4 linked regions of the Arabidopsis thaliana genome follow. The protein of the gene in region 1 purifies or fractionates together with the protein of each later gene. This does not show direct contact. Each region holds a gene or a part of one and is shown in the gene's direction. Other genes may lie near its edges. The genes, in order: AT3G48390, BTF3, IMPA-5 and IMPA-8.

Region 1 (5,232 bases):
ATGTGCATATTGGAATCCCTAGCAGCGGAGGTTAGTACTATTTGTATGCCTTTGTTTCCGTTGTTCATCCTTCGGTCTCTCGATTCGTTTATTGAATTTGCAATGTTATGCAGTTTCGGAGGGTGTGGCATCTATTATCCAAGGTTCTTATGAGTATTATCATTATCTTCAGGATGGCTTTGATGACTCGGTATATCATTTCTCATTCTTCCATGGTTTTAAAACACTGTAAAAGTAGATTGCTGATGACGTGTGGAGTGAAACAAAACTAAAGCAGAAACTAGGGATTAAAGGCTCTGTGCTAATTTATTAGAATCTTTTACTGCATTCATACCGGAAACTGGAGTTCGTAAATGATTATTGGCATGATAGTTTGTTGCGCTTCAAGTATTTCTATTGTATTTTAGAAAACTAGAAATACCTTCTCAACATCTAACACTAATTTTCACTTGCCGTGCTAGGGATGGGGATGTGCTTACCGATCATTGCAAACTATTATCTCGTGGTTCAGACTTCAACACTACACATCCATATCTGTACCTTCACATAGGTATGAAACTTCTGTTTCTCATGAATATAAATCAGAGCTCCTCTTTCCTCGATTCGCTAAGTATTTTTCTGGATTCTCAGGGAAATACAGCAGACACTCGTGGAAATAGGTGACAAGGATCCTTCGTTTGTAGGATCGCGTGAATGGATTGGTGCCATAGAGTTAAGCTTTGTGTTGGATAAACTTCTTGGTGTAAGTCTTCTGCTCTTAACTTCTTGGTGTAAGTCTCCTGCTCTGAACTTGATGTTGAGAAGCTCGTAATGTCTTTTATTTGCAGGTAAGTTGCAAAATTATGAACTTCAGATCCGGATCAGAGCTCCCAGAGAAATGCCGGGAGTTAGCTATGCACTTTGAGAACCAAGGAACTCCAATAATGATTGGTAAGTCAAGCCAAATCACTCTGATATTATAGCATAAGTGAAAGCGTAGACCCTATATATAAAGGATCAGTGGACCAGTCTTTAATGCGGTTTAAAGAAACCTATAAGAAGGATCCGTTTAATCTTTTAAACTTTGTATTGTGAATTGGTTTTACTTGCAGGAGGTGGGGTTCTTGCATACACGCTATTGGGAGTGGATTACGATGAAGGAAGCGGGGATTGCGCGTTCCTGATCCTGGATCCGCATTATACAGGAAGTGAAGATCACAAGAAGATCGTCAATGGTGGTTGGTGTGGGTGGAAAAAAGCTGTTGATAGCAAAGGAAAAAGCTTTTTCTTGCACAACAAGTTTTACAATCTTCTTCTTCCTCAACGTCCCAACATGGTTTAATTATCATTTTCCTACATGTAACAACAATTACTTTTTTTCTTATCACAGTTTTAGCCTGCTCTGGTCTCCTGATAGTGCAAAAAATGGAGTTTTCAAGAAATTTGAATTTCAGTCGAATAAATAAACCATATTGAAATTAATGTCCGGCTTTTAGATTCGGTGTTACTTCTTGTTAGATGAATCGTTTGGCAAAGTCCAATGGAAACCTTTTTTCTCATTGCATGGCATTGAGGGGTAGTTTTGGTAAATTTGTAAAAACTTTTGGATAAGAATGGAAAAAAGCAGCGATAGGAACGATTACGTGCGGGAGTGTAGAGCACGTGGAATAGAATCAACAGAAATAGATAATTACCAAAACTTACAAAACTACACAAAACCCCCACATTTAGCCTAATATTTGTATAGAATGCCTAAATTCTAATTGGATTCTTTTAAGAGAAATAATGGCTATGGGTATTGAAAAATATATGTATATATATAAAATTCGATTTATTTGGATTGAATGTCTGTAAGAAAACTTCTTTGGAAAAAGAAGATATTTCAAAACACGTCAACCAGTAAAACTAATTAGGACCTATCTGAACTAATAAAAAGTATAGTGTTTGATTTAGAATTAAATTACATTTAATGGCTTCTCCACAATTTAAAAAGCCTTATATGATGACGTGTACCTTCCCTTTACTTTTTATTTGTTTTTCCTTTTTCCAATTTTGTAAATCGCCGATTCTCTCTCATCGACTAGTATTTATAGTCTCGTCGAACTTAGAAATCGGCGACATTTGAATCTTCTAAGACTCTGGTGGAAATTTTTATTACTTACCTGCGGAGTTCTGATAGCTTCTTCTTCTTCTTCCTGTCTTGGCTTGAGATCCGAAGCCAAGTACAGAAGAGTTCGTTCGATTAGTTTGGATTCGTTTCGAATTAATCACTGGTATGTATAATTCTATTACTGGATTTAGGTTTTATATGTTGCTTCTTTGATATTATACAAACCAGTGTGTTTGTAACTTAGAGGTAGTGTTGTTTCGTGTTATTTTTCTGTTTAATTAATGTTATGAAGCCAAGCTATAATGTTATTTGTTCTAGAATGTAGATTGTTGTGTTCTGTTTTGCTCTTAACTTGTTGTTTTCGGATTTGTTTTCTAAATCATTCATAAATCTTGAACGTGTTTAGATGGCAACGAGGGAGTGGTTTGTGATGAATGCACAACAGACGAAACTGGCTCTAGAGTCTCCTCCTCTGTTTGCTGTCAAGAAAGGTTAATACTTTATTCAATTTTCTTAGTAAATTTATACTTCCCTTCTTCTTGTCTTGCTTTTCAAACATGAAGCTTATATTTGTACGTTTCAACAGATGATGATAAAGATCATACTTGTGATACTGGAGAGGAACCTTATGCACTTGTTGGTTCCCCTGTGTTTAACCCTTTGGAAGATTACAAAAGAGAAGTAGTTTCCATCATCGATGAATACTTTAGCTCTGGGGATGTTGAAGTGGCTGCTTCTGACCTTATGGATCTTGGTTTGAGCGAATACCATCCTTATTTTGTCAAGAGGCTTGTTTCCATGGCCATGGACAGGGGCAATAAGGAGAAGGAGAAGGCTTCGGTGTTACTCTCGCGGTTGTACGCTCTTGTTGTTTCACCTGATCAAATCAGGGTTGGGTTTATTAGACTGCTTGAGTCCGTTGGTGATCTTGCTTTGGACATACCTGATGCTGTTAATGTACTTGCTTTGTTTATTGCCCGGGCCATCGTCGATGAAATTCTTCCCCCCGTTTTTCTGGCTAGAGCAAAGAAGACTCTACCGCATTCCTCTCAAGGGTTTCAGGTTATCTTAGTTTCAGAAAATAGCTATCTCTCTGCTCCTCACCACGCAGAGCTAGTGGAGACAAAATGGGGTGGGAGTACTCACATTACGGTAGAAGAAACAAAGAGAAAGATATCTGAATTTTTGAATGAATATGTAGAGAATGGTGACACTCGTGAAGCTTGTAGATGCATCAGGGAGTTAGGTGTCTCGTTTTTCCATCACGAGATCGTGAAGAGTGGTTTGGTTCTAGTGATGGAGTCCCGAACATCCGAGCCGCTGATACTAAAATTGTTGAAAGAAGCTACAGAAGAAGGTCTCATTAGTTCGAGTCAAATGGCGAAAGGGTTCTCCCGAGTAGCAGATAGTCTTGATGATCTTTCTCTTGACATCCCATCTGCTAAAACTCTGTTTGAGTCAATAGTTCCCAAGGCTATAATAGGAGGTTGGCTCGACGAAGATTCGTTTAAAGAACGCTCTGATCAAAATGGGGGCAGCGAAAATCTAAGGCGGTTCAAGAAGGATGCAGAGACCATAATTCAAGAGTATTTCCTTTCTGATGATATCCCCGAGCTAATCCGCAGTCTTGAAGATTTAGGATTACCCGAATATAACCCGGTATTCTTGAAGAAACTCATCACTCTTGCTATGGATAGGAAGAACAAAGAGAAAGAAATGGCTTCTGTTTTTCTCGCTTCTCTTCACATGGAGATGTTCTCAACAGAAGACTTCATAAATGGTTTCATCATGCTCCTCGAATCCGCAGAAGATACAGCATTAGACATCTTAGCAGCATCAGACGAGCTTGCTCTGTTTCTAGCTAGAGCTGTGATCGATGATGTCTTGGCTCCGCTTAATCTCGAAGAGATCTCAAACAGCTTACCGCCAAAATCAACCGGAAGCGAAACCATCCGCTCAGCTCGGTCTCTGATATCCGCTCGACACGCAGGAGAAAGACTCCTGAGAAGCTGGGGTGGGGGAACGGGCTGGGCAGTGGAAGACGCTAAAGACAAGATCTGGAAACTTCTAGAAGAATACGAAGTAGGAGGAGTAATATCAGAGGCTTGTCGATGCATACGCGATCTAGGAATGCCGTTTTTTAACCACGAGGTGGTTAAGAAGGCTTTGGTAATGGCAATGGAGAAGAAGAACGATCGGATGCTTAATCTCTTGCAGGAGTGTTTTGCTGAAGGGATCATTACTACTAACCAAATGACAAAAGGGTTTGGTCGAGTCAAAGATAGTCTTGATGACTTATCTTTGGATATTCCAAATGCAGAAGAGAAATTTAACTCGTATGTTGCGCACGCTGAAGAGAACGGTTGGCTACACCGCGATTTTGGGTGTTCTACAGATTCTTGACTGATTCTGAGTCTCTACATATATAGAAATATGGAGTTGGTTGGTTTTGGGTGTTCTTCAAACTGTTCTTTGTACTTGTTTCCGACGAAAGATCATTCTATGTACTTTTTACATAGGTTTTTATAAACGTCACATGCATATGTTCTCTGAAACTTCCCCACCAATTATTCATACAATTGGTTACTAATAATGTTTGCAAATATTTCAATCAAAAGAAATTTAATCCATATATTATTCAAATAATTGAACATTATAGCCTCATATTCGATGGTGTTGTGATGTAGCTTATCATTTGTTTATTCAACGCGCATATATATTAAACATCTCAAAAACACCACACAAGACATGACAAAAAAAAACAAGGGTTGACTAAAAAGAAAGAAAGAGATCTGAATCACAAAAGCACAATGGAGAGATCAGTAGATTTACCGATTCACAAGCATCCATTATACCATTCATCAAGGTTTATAAATGGTCGTTGCCGCGGTTGCAAGCAAACCTCACCTATCTATAGTGGCTACCGTTGCAATGACTCTGATTGTAACCATGTTTGGTATCACAAAGAATGTGGCGAATCATTACCGGAGATCAATCATCCTTCCCATCTCGAGCATCCGCTCTGCTTAATCGACTACAGGGGAAGTGGTACGTGTGCTTTTTGTGGAGCTTTCTTGTTTGGTCCTACGTATCATTGTTGGATATGCGCCTTTAATATCGATATAGCTTGTGCGAGAAAACAA
Region 2 (4,145 bases), on another chromosome or scaffold:
TCTTATGGATGGTACGGAGTACGGACACCTGGCTGATGGAGCTAATTTGGTAACTCACAGCTGCGAACCGGAATTTGGTCCGGTTTAATTGCAATAGGCCAATAACGTAACGATGGAAAAGTAAGCGAAATGGGCGGAGAGTGAGGTGACTATTTTATTTAGGCCCATGGGCCAGGATCCATAAACTGAATAACAAAATATCCGACACCGATTCAGATCGCCGGCGGATATTCAGATCTCCTCCACATTACATTCTCCAAGGAATTTAACCTTTACCTACAAATCTAAGCTTCTGTCGTTGACTTCGAAAACTGATATCTATAAGTCAAAATCCCCATTCTCAATCGCTCATCGTCTTGTAGAACTAATTGACTAAACAATGGCGGACAACACAGGATCCGGTACGTCCATCTCTCTATTTTATGTCTGAATATAATGTTTCATGTCTATATACGGAGTTTTGTGGAATTGAATTTAGATTTTCGTGGAAATTTTGGAACCCTAGGTCTTTGATCCCTCGTAATTCTGTGCAGAGATGAAATCAGGTTCGTTTATGTTAGAGAAATCCGCCAAGATCTTTGTCGCTGGACATAGGGGATTGGTTGGATCTGCCATTGTCCGCAAGCTCCAGGATCAGGGTTTCACCAATTTGGTCCTTCGAACCCATTCAGAGCTTGATCTCACTAGCCAATCAGATGTTGAATCTTTCTTTGCTACAGAGAAACCAGTTTATGTCATCCTAGCTGCTGCTAAAGTCGGTGGGATTCATGCTAACAACACATACCCAGCTGATTTCATTGGGGTCAATCTCCAAATCCAGACCAATGTGATCCACTCTGCTTATACACACGGTGTGAAGAAACTCCTCTTCCTTGGTTCATCTTGCATTTACCCCAAATTTGCTCCTCAGCCGATTCCCGAATCTGCGCTTCTTACCGGTCCGCTCGAACCGACAAACGAATGGTATGCGATCGCCAAGATCGCGGGTATTAAGATGTGTCAAGCTTACCGGCTTCAGCATCAGTGGGATGCTATCTCCGGTATGCCCACGAATCTGTATGGTCAGAATGATAATTTCCACCCGGAGAATTCCCATGTGCTGCCTGCTCTCATGAGGAGGTTTCATGAAGCCAAAGCCAATAATGCTGACGAAGTTGTGGTTTGGGGAAGTGGAAGCCCGTTGAGGGAGTTTTTACATGTCGATGATTTGGCTGATGCTTGTGTTTTCTTGATGGATCAGTACAGCGGATTTGAGCATGTGAATGTAGGAAGTGGTGTTGAAGTGACGATCAAAGAATTGGCTGAGTTGGTGAAAGAAGTTGTTGGGTTTAAAGGAAAGCTTGTTTGGGATACCACAAAACCAGACGGGACACCAAGGAAACTGATGGATAGCTCGAAGCTTGCGTCTTTGGGATGGACACCGAAGATTTCGCTTAAAGATGGCCTCTCCCAAACTTATGAATGGTATTTGGAAAATGTTGTGCAGAAGAAGCAGTAAAAAAAACAAGGTCCAAAACACAAAGCAATATTCATTCTCTTTACACGTGAATGTTTATGCGTTTGATTTTTGGTTCTATACAGATCTCTCTATCTCTTTTATGTAATTTTTGTATTCATGGATTTCATACAGTTCAAGTTAAGCAAACTTACTTTGTAATAAATGTACCATTGTTGTTGAGATTATCAATAATCGAATAGCTTTCTTCTCTAAATTTTAGTCAACTAAACAAGTCTGTTCATTGATAAACTCATTTAGATAAATTTGTGGATTTTGAAATTCTGGTAACCAAAAGATTATGGTTTGCTACGCGCTAATACTGGTGATTGATTACGGCACAAAAGAGCCCAGTAAATAATTATTGGCCCAGTTTAGTTTTGGGCCTTATGGGCCAATATTATCATCGAGCATCCAACGGTAGTGATGGAGATTTCTTTATGGAATATCTGATATCCACCGTTAGATTAAGAGACGAGGTTGGCTCCGAATAGCATATAGTTAAAGGGCAAAACCCTGCGCCGCCCGCGTCTCTCCTCTCTCTGTTTCTTTTCTTTTTGTTTCATTTTCTTATCTCCTCACACTCTTCGAACAAGGAAGAACCCTAATCTCAAGGTAAATTCATTATCACTGTAATTTTCCTTTCTATTAGTGTTTTATCTCTCCGGTTCTAGGGTTTCTCTAATCCCCGATTTTGCAAAATGTCAGATATCTTTCTTTCTTGATTCATTTCGCTTCTTTCTGTAGATAGGATTAGTTTTTGTCGGTGTTTGGGAATTTACTGGGTTTTCAACTTCTCTGTGTGTTTGATTGGGGGATTTGGTATACCTAATCGATTGAAAATGATTAAATTTAGGTTAAAACTACTAGTCACATCACCGTGTCTTCATACGCATCTGAGTTTAAATCTGTTCGCGCTTACTTTCTTCTCACTAGTTTCTTGTATAATAAGAAGTTTTTGTGAATGTATTATTAGCAGTTAATGTGTTCATTGATTCTTTTGGAAGTGATTTGGGGATTGATGGATTTTGCTTCTTATTATGGTTTATACACAGATGAATAGGGAGAAGTTGATGAAGATGGCTAATACCGTCCGCACTGGCGGAAAGGGTACTGTCAGAAGGTATAGAGTTTTATTCAACCAATTTCATTGTTCAATACTTAGCATTTACTATGATTTGTGTTATGAAACCATTCGATTTTTACTTGCAGAAAGAAGAAGGCTGTGCACAAGACCAATACAACTGATGACAAGAGGCTTCAAAGCACTCTTAAGAGAATTGGAGTTAACTCCATTCCCGCTATTGAAGAAGTTAACATCTTTAAGGATGATGTTGTTATTCAGTTCATCAACCCTAAGGGTAAGTCATTTTTAACCATTTTTTATCTATACATCAGAACCTTTTTTTCATGTTACTGATCATTGTTCCTCCTTTGAATGTTACTACAGTTCAAGCTTCAATTGCTGCAAACACATGGGTTGTTAGCGGTTCTCCTCAGACCAAAAGTATTGCATCTCATAATATCTCTTAATCTCTACTTTCTTGTTTCTTCTTCATTTCATCTTCTCTGATTAATGTAAACGTGTTGCTTCCTGCAGAATTGCAAGATATCCTTCCTCAGATCATCAGCCAACTTGGTGTGTACCATGTAACTGTACAGCTCTTAAATGTTCTTCATCGATCCTAAGGTCTCTAACTTTATGTTACTTTGATCTCTTTCAGGACCAGACAACATGGACAACCTGAAGAAGCTAGCAGAACAGTTCCAGAAACAGGCTTCTGGTGAAGGTAATGCCGCCTCAGCAACCATACAAGAAGAGGATGATGACGATGTCCCAGAGCTTGTTGGAGAGACATTCGAAACTGCTGCTGAAGAGAAAGCACCAGCTGCTGCTGCTTCTTCTTAGAGAGAAAAGAGCGAGACCACATCCAAAAAAAAACCGCACTTTGATTTTTACATATCTTTATAATATGTTTGTTCGCTCGATCCTTTTTGTAGTTTCCGACCAGAATCTTGTTTTCCATCTAATGACTTAAGGTTTTTATCCAATTATTTGATGTCTTATTGATTCTTTGACAGCAAATCAGGTCCTCGTCTTCTTCTTCCTCTTCACTATGTGGATTAGAAGATTTTGATGTGACACATTGTCTTGTTGCATAAAAACCATTCCACCTGTACTGTATGAGTTTCTTCTCAAACTTTCCAGACATTTCATCACTTTCTCTACAAATTCTCTCTCAGAGACATGTCTATTCGTCGTCAAATCTCAATCTTTCTGAGTTTTCGTAAACCATGGCTTCTCTCTTTGTTTCTACTCCATCATCTTCCTTAACTCTTAAATCCTGTCACAGTTTGCATCTTCGTCGCTTTGACAGAGCAGAATTTTCGAACTTTGGGAAAGCTTCTGTGAATCAGACAACGAGAAGCAGACATTCTTTGAGATGTTCAGCGGAAGATGATCGCGTTCGTGAACCTGTGAACGAAGCTCCTTCTCCGGTGGCGTTAGCGGAGGAGCAAAAAGAAGACCACGATAACAATAATGCGCCGCCTTCTCCAGAGAGCAGTGAAGAAGAGGAGGAAAAGAAGTCGAAGCAGCAAGAGATGGATTGGAAAACAGACGAGGAGTTCAAGAAGTTTATGGGGAATC
Region 3 (4,994 bases), on another chromosome or scaffold:
AAGAGAACCTGCGAATCTTGGCCTTTAAGCAACCTTTGGCTGAAGCAATTCTTCTATCCTCCTCTCCTTTTTCATTTATTTATCAAATATACTCCAGTTTATTCTTTTCTTCCCACTTTCAATGCCTCTCATATATGTAAAACAAATCAAAGTATAATAACTCTCAAAACATGTAACTTCGATTCCTATCTATTAGAAATTGACGAGAGACATGTCGAGAACAAGAGTGCGAGCTGTGACCCATCAAGATCTTGTTCCAAACCCTAAAACCACAGATCTCAGCAGCAAAACCGGTATTTTCATCGCTGTTTTGACAATAATCTTTGGCCTCTCCTGCTTTGTTCTCTGCCTCTATGCCGAAGCCACAAGATCTCAGGTACATTACTATACAGGGATGTATATAAACTTTCTCTCATATGTTTTCATCATTTATATTTTCAAAATAAATCAGAAATCTATATTGATTCATGTTTTATATTAATTACCATATCGTTCGATTATAATAGTATTTAGTATAAGTTATATCATTGCCATTAATATGTTGTCAATCATTTGCAATAGGCGACATGGGGAAGCAAAACATGCGTGTATAATGGTAGCGGGAAAACGCCGTTGTTGTGTGGTGCGATTGCGTTTGTGGGACTAGCGGTGGCGATGGTGGGCTTCCACATGTACTTACTTATCGCAGTCACCACATCGCCGTCTCTGGTTCTGGTTGAGTGGGATCCTGACTCTGTTCCTGCGAAGAGGCTCACTTTTCAAGCTGCCTTCTTCTTCGTCTCAACATGGTACGTAGACTTATTCTAACGCAACGAATTAATGTCATGTAGTTATAAAAAATAAAATAAAAATAAAAAAATCCTAACTATAAGCAATCGTGAAATGACATATTTATGTTACTGACCATAGCTTAAGTTAATGATAATTTTGTGATTATATTATTCTTTTTTGTTCCTATAAGGGTTTGCTTTGGTGTTGGAGAGGTTCTACTGTTGGTTGCACTTAGTGTGGAATCAGGACATCTAAAGAACTGGTCTAAACCAAAACCTAGTTGTCTAGTAATCCGGCAAGGCTTGTTTTCAGCGGCCGGAGTGTTCTCACTTATAACCGTCTTTCTAGCCACGGGACTTTACCTAACCGCTCTTCAAGCACATCGAATCTCTAAGGATCTTGAAAACACACATAGAGAGATCATCGAGGCATCAGTTCTTTATGCATCTCCTCCAAGATCGCCTACAAATCGGATGGCTACGGTTGCTCGAGAAGGTCTTGCTACTGTTAGAGATGAATCGACGTCTTTGGAATATCTTGTTTCTTTAAAGCAACTTGCACATATAGTATAGTGTACAATGTATAGTAGTTAACATAATCATATGAGAAAAAACAATGTTTTTACTTCTTACATAAGCAATTCAAAATCACAAACCAAAACCTACTTTTTCCAATCAATACATGAACTTTACCGGAAAAGTAGGTTTTCCTTCGCCGGAGAAAACACTACACATCTAACGAGTAAACTCTGCAAATATGGTTCTTTTTATCGTCGGTAACGAGTAACTAAACCAACTTCACGGTTTAGTTCGGTTTAGATTCAAGTATTTTAGCTTATAATAATTATTGACTAATTATTTCAATTTGGAGCTCTTAATAATATGATTGTAAACTTTATCTTAAATTTAGATTATCAATGATTTATGATTCAATCTACTGTATAAATACGGTTAACAATTAAAAACGATAATTAGAAAACCCTCCCGCTTCTTCAAATTGAAACTGTTGTCGCTTCTTCTTCATCTTCACCACTCTTGCATTCTCTTCTTCACTTTGCAAATCCCATTCAGTTCAAATTTCTAGGGTTTCGCTTCGATTTTGTGAATTGATTTAGAGAGGTCGAAGAATCGAGAAAGCTATGTCCTTGCGACCGAGCACGAAGACAGAGATCCGTCGAATCCGTTACAAAGTCTCTGTAGATGCGGAAGAAGGACGCAGAAGAAGAGAAGACTTTTTAGTCGAGATTCGCAAGAGTAAACGCAACGAAAATTTGATGAAGAAACGTCGTGTAAAAGTTTTGCCTCCTGATTACAAGTTGATTTCCAACGACCCCTTTGAGAGTTTGGTAAAAGTTTGATCTTTGGTTTTGGATTAGTGAAACCTAGGTTTTGAAAGATACGACCTTTATCATTATACTCGAATGCTTTCGAATTGGGTAATTAAATTAGATCCTCTCTGGTGATGGTTGTAGTTGGAGATAGCGAATATGATCACTGGGGTTTTCTCGGATGATCCTTCATTGCAGCTTGAGTACACAACTCGGTTCAGGGTGGTTCTATCATTCGGTAAAACTCTTTACTTTTCTTTGATCTTGAGTTGAAAAAGATACGAACTTATATTTACTTGAATGGTTTCTTAAAGTCTTGTGGTTTTATATATTGTTCAGATAGAAGTCCACCTACTGATAATGTGATAAAATCTGGAGTTGTGCCACGTTTTGTAGAGTTTCTTAAGAAGGATGATAACCCTAAGCTTCAGGTTAGACTTAAAGTTCCCATCTTTGATGATTAGTGTAATCTTTGGTTCTGAATTCTTTGATCTTTTTTATAGTTTGAGGCTGCTTGGGCTTTAACAAACATTGCTTCTGGCGCATCTGAGCATACCAAGGTAGTGATTGATCACGGTGTTGTGCCACTCTTTGTTCAGCTTCTTGCTTCCCCTGATGATGATGTCCGTGAGCAGGTATAGTGCTTCTTCTGAGTATGAATGGTTAAATATGTGAGTTCAAATTTTGAAGAGTTTGATGTTACACTTAATTTGCAGGCTATATGGGGACTGGGTAATGTTGCTGGTGATTCAATACAGTGCCGTGACTTTGTTCTTAACTCTGGGGCATTTATTCCACTGTTGCATCAGCTGAATAACCATGCTACATTGTCGATACTTAGAAATGCGACTTGGACTTTATCAAACTTCTTCCGTGGCAAGCCTTCACCACCCTTTGACCTGGTATTCTTACTTCTCTATTTCCTCAGTTTTATAGGTGCAATACTTAAACTTATGAAACATGATTTATAGGTGAAACATGTTCTCCCTGTACTTAAAAGACTTGTTTATTCGGATGATGAACAAGTCTTGATAGATGCTTGCTGGGCGCTTTCGAATCTGTCTGATGCTTCAAATGAAAATATCCAAAGTGTGATCGAGGCGGGTGTTGTCCCAAGACTAGTTGAACTTCTCCAGTTAGTACTTCTCTCCAAATATTAAAAAATTTAACCGTTTGATACATGTTTGGATAATGAAGGCTCGCCATTTTTTTCTTTTGCAGACACGCTTCTCCAGTTGTACTTGTTCCTGCACTTCGTTGCATTGGGAATATAGTTTCTGGAAATAGTCAGCAGACTCACGTATGTAATTCATATTCCTTTGATGGAGCCTTCAAGAACACGTCTCTTGTACACCGTGTGAATTTATTGTTTTTCAAAGCAATAGCACTATCAAAAGCTTAATTTGTAATCCTGTATCTTGGATGATTATATCCTGGAGAACACTTCATTTATATGTTGCTTGAGTACTGTGTTGAGATTAGATTTTGTAACCAAATAACTCTTTGAACTTATTTTTCAGTGTGTGATCAATTGTGGTGTTTTACCCGTTCTTGCTGACCTGCTTACTCAAAACCATATGAGAGGCATAAGGAGGGAAGCTTGCTGGACGATTTCAAACATCACTGCCGGTTTAGAAGAACAAATTCAGGTGAGCATGAGTTTGTGATTGTTACTGTTGCAGAACTTGAACAATTTACGTTGCTATCACTAAATATTTTCTATTTGTCTTTCTTGCATTGATGATGATAACAGTCGGTTATTGATGCAAATTTGATTCCATCGTTGGTCAATCTGGCACAACATGCTGAATTTGACATAAAGAAAGAAGCTATATGGGCAATTTCAAATGCTTCCGTGGGTGGTTCTCCTAATCAAATCAAGTACATCCCTGTCTTCTTTCTTTATCACTTTTTTCATGCTTATTGATCATCTATATTCACAATATCCATTGGTGTGTATCAGATACTTGGTGGAGCAGAATTGCATAAAAGCTTTATGTGACATCCTGGTTTGTCCAGATCTAAGAATCATCTTAGTGTCTCTAGGTGGACTGGAAATGATTTTGATTGCTGGAGAGGTGGACAAGAACCTAAGAGACGTGAACTGTTACTCTCAAATGATTGAAGATGCAGAAGGGCTAGAAAAGATTGAGAACTTGCAGCACCATGGCAACAATGAGATCTACGAGAAGGCTGTGAAGATTCTGCAAACATACGGGCTTGTAGAGGAAGATGGAAGGTTAGTTGAAGAGGAAGATGAAGGTGGTGATGGTTGTTCTCATCCGGAATTCCAGTTTGATTTTTCTCGTTAAGATCCCACATAATCTGATATTAGATTTTGATGTAAAGAAATAGCTGTCATATTGAACCAAAAGCATGCACATAATATGATGGTCCTAAAAGACAAAACAATGTGGATTCCAACAGGAAGTGGAACTTGGTTCTCTAACAGCTACTCATCATATTGGAATCAAGTTCCACTTCCTGTTAGAGAACCAAGTTCCACTTCCTGTTGGAATCCACATTGTTTTGTCTTTTAGGAAAAAATTTTACTCAAATTTACCGAACTAACGGTCAAAATTAAGAAAGGGTTAAATTATTTGTTTACCGAACTAACGGTCAAACTTTAAAGATGGATTCAGTTTTTTTGACGCGGGACGGATTTGTTTTTTTTTTTTTCTTTCGAAATGGATGGGCTCTTATGCTATGGGCTTTGGTATAACGTAAAAGGCCCATATATTCCGAAACCACTTTGTGTTTCGTTTCCATGGAGAAATTGAATCATCGAATTTGGTCGCCACTTTGAGAATTTAGATGAATTCGATAACAAGCTCAAGTAAGAAGGTGCAGAGATGCTTTATTATTTCTTCGCTCGTTGTTAACTCTTCTTCATTCT
Region 4 (4,353 bases), on another chromosome or scaffold:
ATCTCACTTCTTTACCTTCTCCAATTCCAAATTCCAAAACCCTAAATTCACAAGCTTCCCACTTCGTCACCAATGGCGGATCGAATCATGTCTGAAATCAGCATCTTCATCAGAAATCGATATGGTAAGAAACAAAGAAGGTATCTTTGCACCAAAGGAGAAGAAAGTTGTAGTCTTATGGGACTTAGACAACAAACCACCACGAGGTCCACCATACGAAGCCGCAACAGCTCTCCGTAAAGTCGCTGAGAAACTCGGCCGAGTCGTCGAAATCTCCGCTTACGCAAATCGTCATGCTTTTATCCATTTACCTCATTGGGTCGTCGAAGAGAGACGAGAAAGGAGGAACCTTGATTTCATGGAGAGGAAAGGAGAAGTGACTCCAATTGATCCGTACATTTGTGGTGTTTGTGGTCGCAAGTGTAAAACCAATCTTGATTTGAAGAAACATTTCAAGCAGCTTCATGAGAGGGAGAGACAGAAGAAAGTTAATAGGATGAGATCTTTGAAAGGTAAGAAACGTCAGAAGTTTAAGGAGCGTTATGTTTCAGGGAATGAGAAGTATAATGAGGCTGCGAGGAGTTTGTTGACTCCTAAAGTTGGATATGGTTTAGAGGCTGAGCTACGTCGAGCAGGGGTTTATGTTAAGACGGTTGAGGATAAGCCTCAGGCTGCGGATTGGGCGGTTAAGAGACAGATACAACATTCAATGACTAGAGGGATTGATTGGTTGGTTTTGGTGTCGGATGATAAGGATTTTTCTGATATGTTGAGGAAAGCTAGAGAGGCTGATCTTGGGACTTTGGTTGTTAGTGATATGGATAGAGCATTGGGAAGGCATGCTGATTTGTGGGTGCCTTGGAGTGGTGTTGAGAAGGGAGAGATTGGTGAGAAGGATTTGATTCCGGGGAAGAGACCAAGGTTTGAGGAGGATGAGGTGGGATTTGGTGGTAATGATGAGTTGTTTTCGTTGTCGTATGATGAGGATGAGAAGGCGGAGATGACGGTGGAGAGTGATGGGTTTGGGAGGTTTAATGTATCGGCGTTTTCGGAAGATGAATGGGTGGAGGATGAAGGAGACTTTGTGTTGAGTGATAGTAGTGATGATGATAGTGATGATGAGCTTTTCTGATTCATGGTGAATTGAGTTGCATTTCTAAGTGTTGTTAATTGGTTTACGAATAGAGTTCATAGGAGCTTTGGTCGATGTAATTGAAATCAAATGTAAAACCATTCTTACATAAGCCAAGATTTTGTGCATTCATGTGGTCAAAGGCTTTGAGAATTCAAGTTCTTACATAAACCAAGATTTTGTGGTATTGTGGTTTGTCGAATTGAAATTTTGGGTTGGAGTAAACCGGATTCAAATCAAATTTTTATTTTGATCGGTTTAGAGTAGACGGTTAAGTAGCGACTGGATTTTTTGATCAGACGGTTAAAATAAAATCAAGAAAGAAACGATAACTGAAAAACCCGTTTTTTTACGCTTCGTTAAAATTCTGCTTCACCATTTTTGTTTGCATTCTTGCTTGATTGCAAAATCTTTGCCTCTCTCACATTTCAAGTTGAGATTTCTAGGGTTTAGTCTTTAAGTTTTCTAAATTGCTTTGGAGAGGTCGAAAAGAAGAGAGAAAAGCCATGGCTTGGAAAACAGAGGTCCGTTTAAAACTATCTCACAAGTAATCACTCTCTGGTTGATTTTGTGTTGGACTAGTGAGGTTTTTAGGGTTTGGATTGTAGGTGAACGAAGTTTCAGATGATATAATCGATGGTCTTTGGTCAGATGATCCTCCATTACAACTTGAATCCGTTACCAAGATCAGACGTATTACATCACAGAGTAAAAACTTCCTCTGTTTTTTACTTTCTTTACTTTTTCTTGATCTCGGTTTGAAAGATTCGTCTTTTATCATTTACTCTAATATCTTTCCAGGAGATATATCTTGTGTGATACGATCTGGAGTTGTACCGCGTCTCGTTCAGTTGCTTAAAAATCAAGTTTTCCCCAAGCTTCAAGTTAGTTGATATTTTATGATGATGATCAGTGTAACCTTTGATTACGATATATTCAGTGATCTTTGTTTTTATAGTATGAGGTAGCTTGGGCTCTAACAAACATTGCTGTTGACAATCCGGGCGTGGTAGTTAATAACAACGCTGTTCCAGTATTAATTCAGCTTATTGCTTCTCCTAAAGATTATGTTCGTGAGCAGGTAAGTATTTTACTACGTGTAGATATGAGAATACTTGTCACAGACTCACAGATATGAGTTTTGACATTATTCTTGCAGGCTATATGGACACTGAGTAATGTTGCTGGTCATTCGATACATTACCGTGACTTTGTTCTTAACTCTGGGGTATTGATGCCACTGTTGCGTCTTCTGTATAAGGATACTACACTCAGAATTGCTACTTGGGCTTTGCGTAACTTGTGTCGTGGCAAGCCTCACCCGGCTTTCGATCAGGTCTTCTTACTTCTCTCTCTGTCTCTGTTTCCTCTGTTTTGTATACTTTTTAACATATGAAGCATGATTCAACAGGTGAAACCTGCTCTTCCTGCGCTTGAAATACTTCTTCATTCACATGATGAAGATGTCTTGAAAAATGCTTGCATGGCACTATGTCATCTGTCTGAGGGTTCAGAAGATGGAATCCAAAGTGTGATTGAGGCTGGTTTTGTCCCAAAACTAGTTCAAATTCTCCAGTTAGTACTTCTCAGAATATGTATTTAACCCTTTTGTGACATGTTTGGATAAGGAAAGGCTGACAGTTTTTTTTCTTTTGCAGACTCCCTTCTCCAGTGGTGCTTGTTCCTGCACTTCTTACCATTGGGGCTATGACTGCTGGAAATCATCAGCAGACACAGGTATGTATTTCATATTCAACTTACGTTGTCCACCTTTTGGATTTTGTAACCAAACAACAAAATGCTTTGTTATACACCTCTTTGAACTTATTCTTCAGTGTGTGATCAATAGTGGTGCTTTACCCATTATTTCCAACATGCTTACTCGAAACCACGAGAACAAAATAAAGAAGTGTGCTTGCTGGGTGATTTCAAACATCACTGCAGGGACTAAAGAACAAATTCAGGTGAGAAACTTTTGTTGCTATTATCCCCAATGAAAATTTACCATTTTTGTCTTTTGCTATCACTAATTTGTTTTTCTTTTTCCCCTGGTGATTACAGTCAGTTATTGATGCAAATTTGATTCCAATCTTGGTCAATCTTGCTCAAGATACTGACTTCTACATGAAGAAAGAAGCTGTATGGGCAATTTCAAATATGGCCTTAAATGGTTCTCATGATCAAATCAAGTAACGTCCCTGTCTTGTTTCTTTTTTCAACTTTAATGTACTTATTATAGATCATCAAGTCTCACAATTCTCCATTGGTGTGATTCAGATACATGGCGGAGCAGAGTTGCATAAAACAATTATGTGATATCCTAGTATATTCAGATGAAAGAACCACCATCTTAAAGTGTCTGGATGGATTGGAAAACATGTTGAAGGCCGGAGAGGCTGAAAAGAACAGTGAAGACGTGAACCCTTATTGTCTACTGATTGAAGATGCGGAAGGGCTAGAAAAGATTTCGAAGCTGCAAATGAACAAAAACGATGATATCTACGAGAAGGCTTATAAGATTCTGGTGACGAATTGGTTTGAAGAGGATGATGAGAACAACAACAACAACGTCCGATGTGATGATGTGGACTTTCAGGTGTGAGAGAACCAAAGTTCCAGTTCCTTATATGGAAGATCCCAACACAATTATTTGTTATAGTGAAAAAAAAACATCTTACATGGGACCAAAGGCTTTGCACCTTTGTTGTCTCAGGGCTTTACTTGGTCTTTAATTGAATGTACAAAGTTGATGTAAAAGCTTTGGCTCCATCGTTCATGGAGTCTAGTACATTGTTTTGGGTTTTAAAAGTTTTCTGTGTTAAAGCTCGTCGTCTAATTGATGTTGTGTTTGGTTTTAGTTGAAAGGTTTAGACGTTTAGTAAAAAAGTTACTCAAATTCTTGAAATCTCCTTGGCCTTGCTGATTATAAAATCAAATATTCATTTATAAAATTATGCGAAAGGGTCTAATTATTTTTGAAACCGAATCGAATGAAGACAACTCCATTTTGATTGATTTTTTTTTTGTTGTATTAAAGAATAAAAAACTCGACTGGTTCAACAAGACTGGATTGTCTTTAAACTACTGGTTCAATGTATTTTGGGTACATAATGAAAAAAATACACAATCCGCCTTGGCCACGTATCCATCTTTGGCTTAGTTGATGATGATAATACTTTTGTTTTTTGGTAAGGCTGATGATGATAATAGTTAGAAGAAGT

The links.
Region 2: the proteins of AT3G48390 (region 1) and BTF3 fractionate together in Arabidopsis thaliana (co-fractionation; one large-scale study listed by BioGRID). This does not show direct contact.
Region 3: the proteins of AT3G48390 (region 1) and IMPA-5 fractionate together in Arabidopsis thaliana (co-fractionation; one large-scale study listed by BioGRID). This does not show direct contact.
Region 4: the proteins of AT3G48390 (region 1) and IMPA-8 fractionate together in Arabidopsis thaliana (co-fractionation; one large-scale study listed by BioGRID). This does not show direct contact.

The regions. Positions count from the first base shown.
Region 1 is NC_003074.8:17,918,779-17,924,010, forward strand, and holds AT3G48390 (MA3 domain-containing protein), read left to right. Parts: upstream 1-2,016; 5' UTR 2,017-2,252; intron 2,253-2,495; coding exon 2,496-2,580; intron 2,581-2,675; coding exon 2,676-4,492; 3' UTR 4,493-4,718; downstream 4,719-5,232. Other genes in the region: AT3G48380 (Peptidase C78, ubiquitin fold modifier-specific peptidase 1/ 2), read left to right, coding at 1-30, 114-190, 462-550, 631-742, 828-930, 995-1,070, 1,144-1,321; AT3G48400 (Cysteine/Histidine-rich C1 domain family protein), read left to right, coding at 4,900-5,232. UniProt on the Arabidopsis thaliana protein: Involved in target of rapamycin (TOR)-regulated translation control, especially under energy-deficient conditions.
Region 2 is NC_003070.9:6,151,831-6,155,975, reverse strand, and holds BTF3 (basic transcription factor 3), read left to right. Parts: upstream 1-1,993; 5' UTR 1,994-2,110; intron 2,111-2,550; coding exon 2,551-2,618; intron 2,619-2,707; coding exon 2,708-2,856; intron 2,857-2,945; coding exon 2,946-3,002; intron 3,003-3,095; coding exon 3,096-3,134; intron 3,135-3,219; coding exon 3,220-3,404; 3' UTR 3,405-3,592; downstream 3,593-4,145. Other genes in the region: GER2 (NAD(P)-binding Rossmann-fold superfamily protein), read left to right, coding at 380-401, 534-1,498; EGY3 (ethylene-dependent gravitropism-deficient and yellow-green-like 3), read left to right, coding at 3,791-4,145.
Region 3 is NC_003076.8:19,991,432-19,996,425, reverse strand, and holds IMPA-5 (importin alpha), read left to right. Parts: upstream 1-1,753; 5' UTR 1,754-1,909; coding exon 1,910-2,116; intron 2,117-2,242; coding exon 2,243-2,336; intron 2,337-2,437; coding exon 2,438-2,529; intron 2,530-2,601; coding exon 2,602-2,733; intron 2,734-2,814; coding exon 2,815-3,000; intron 3,001-3,069; coding exon 3,070-3,233; intron 3,234-3,319; coding exon 3,320-3,398; intron 3,399-3,618; coding exon 3,619-3,747; intron 3,748-3,851; coding exon 3,852-3,979; intron 3,980-4,061; coding exon 4,062-4,410; 3' UTR 4,411-4,480; downstream 4,481-4,994. Other genes in the region: AT5G49320 (transmembrane protein, putative (DUF1218)), read left to right, coding at 212-376, 562-788, 962-1,343. UniProt on the Arabidopsis thaliana protein: Binds to conventional NLS motifs and mediates nuclear protein import across the nuclear envelope.
Region 4 is NC_003076.8:21,118,405-21,122,757, reverse strand, and holds IMPA-8 (importin alpha), read left to right. Parts: upstream 1-1,638; coding exon 1,639-1,656; intron 1,657-1,740; coding exon 1,741-1,840; intron 1,841-1,933; coding exon 1,934-2,016; intron 2,017-2,090; coding exon 2,091-2,213; intron 2,214-2,291; coding exon 2,292-2,468; intron 2,469-2,543; coding exon 2,544-2,707; intron 2,708-2,790; coding exon 2,791-2,869; intron 2,870-2,967; coding exon 2,968-3,096; intron 3,097-3,193; coding exon 3,194-3,321; intron 3,322-3,409; coding exon 3,410-3,734; 3' UTR 3,735-3,812; downstream 3,813-4,353. Other genes in the region: AT5G52010 (C2H2-like zinc finger protein), read left to right, coding at 1-1,132.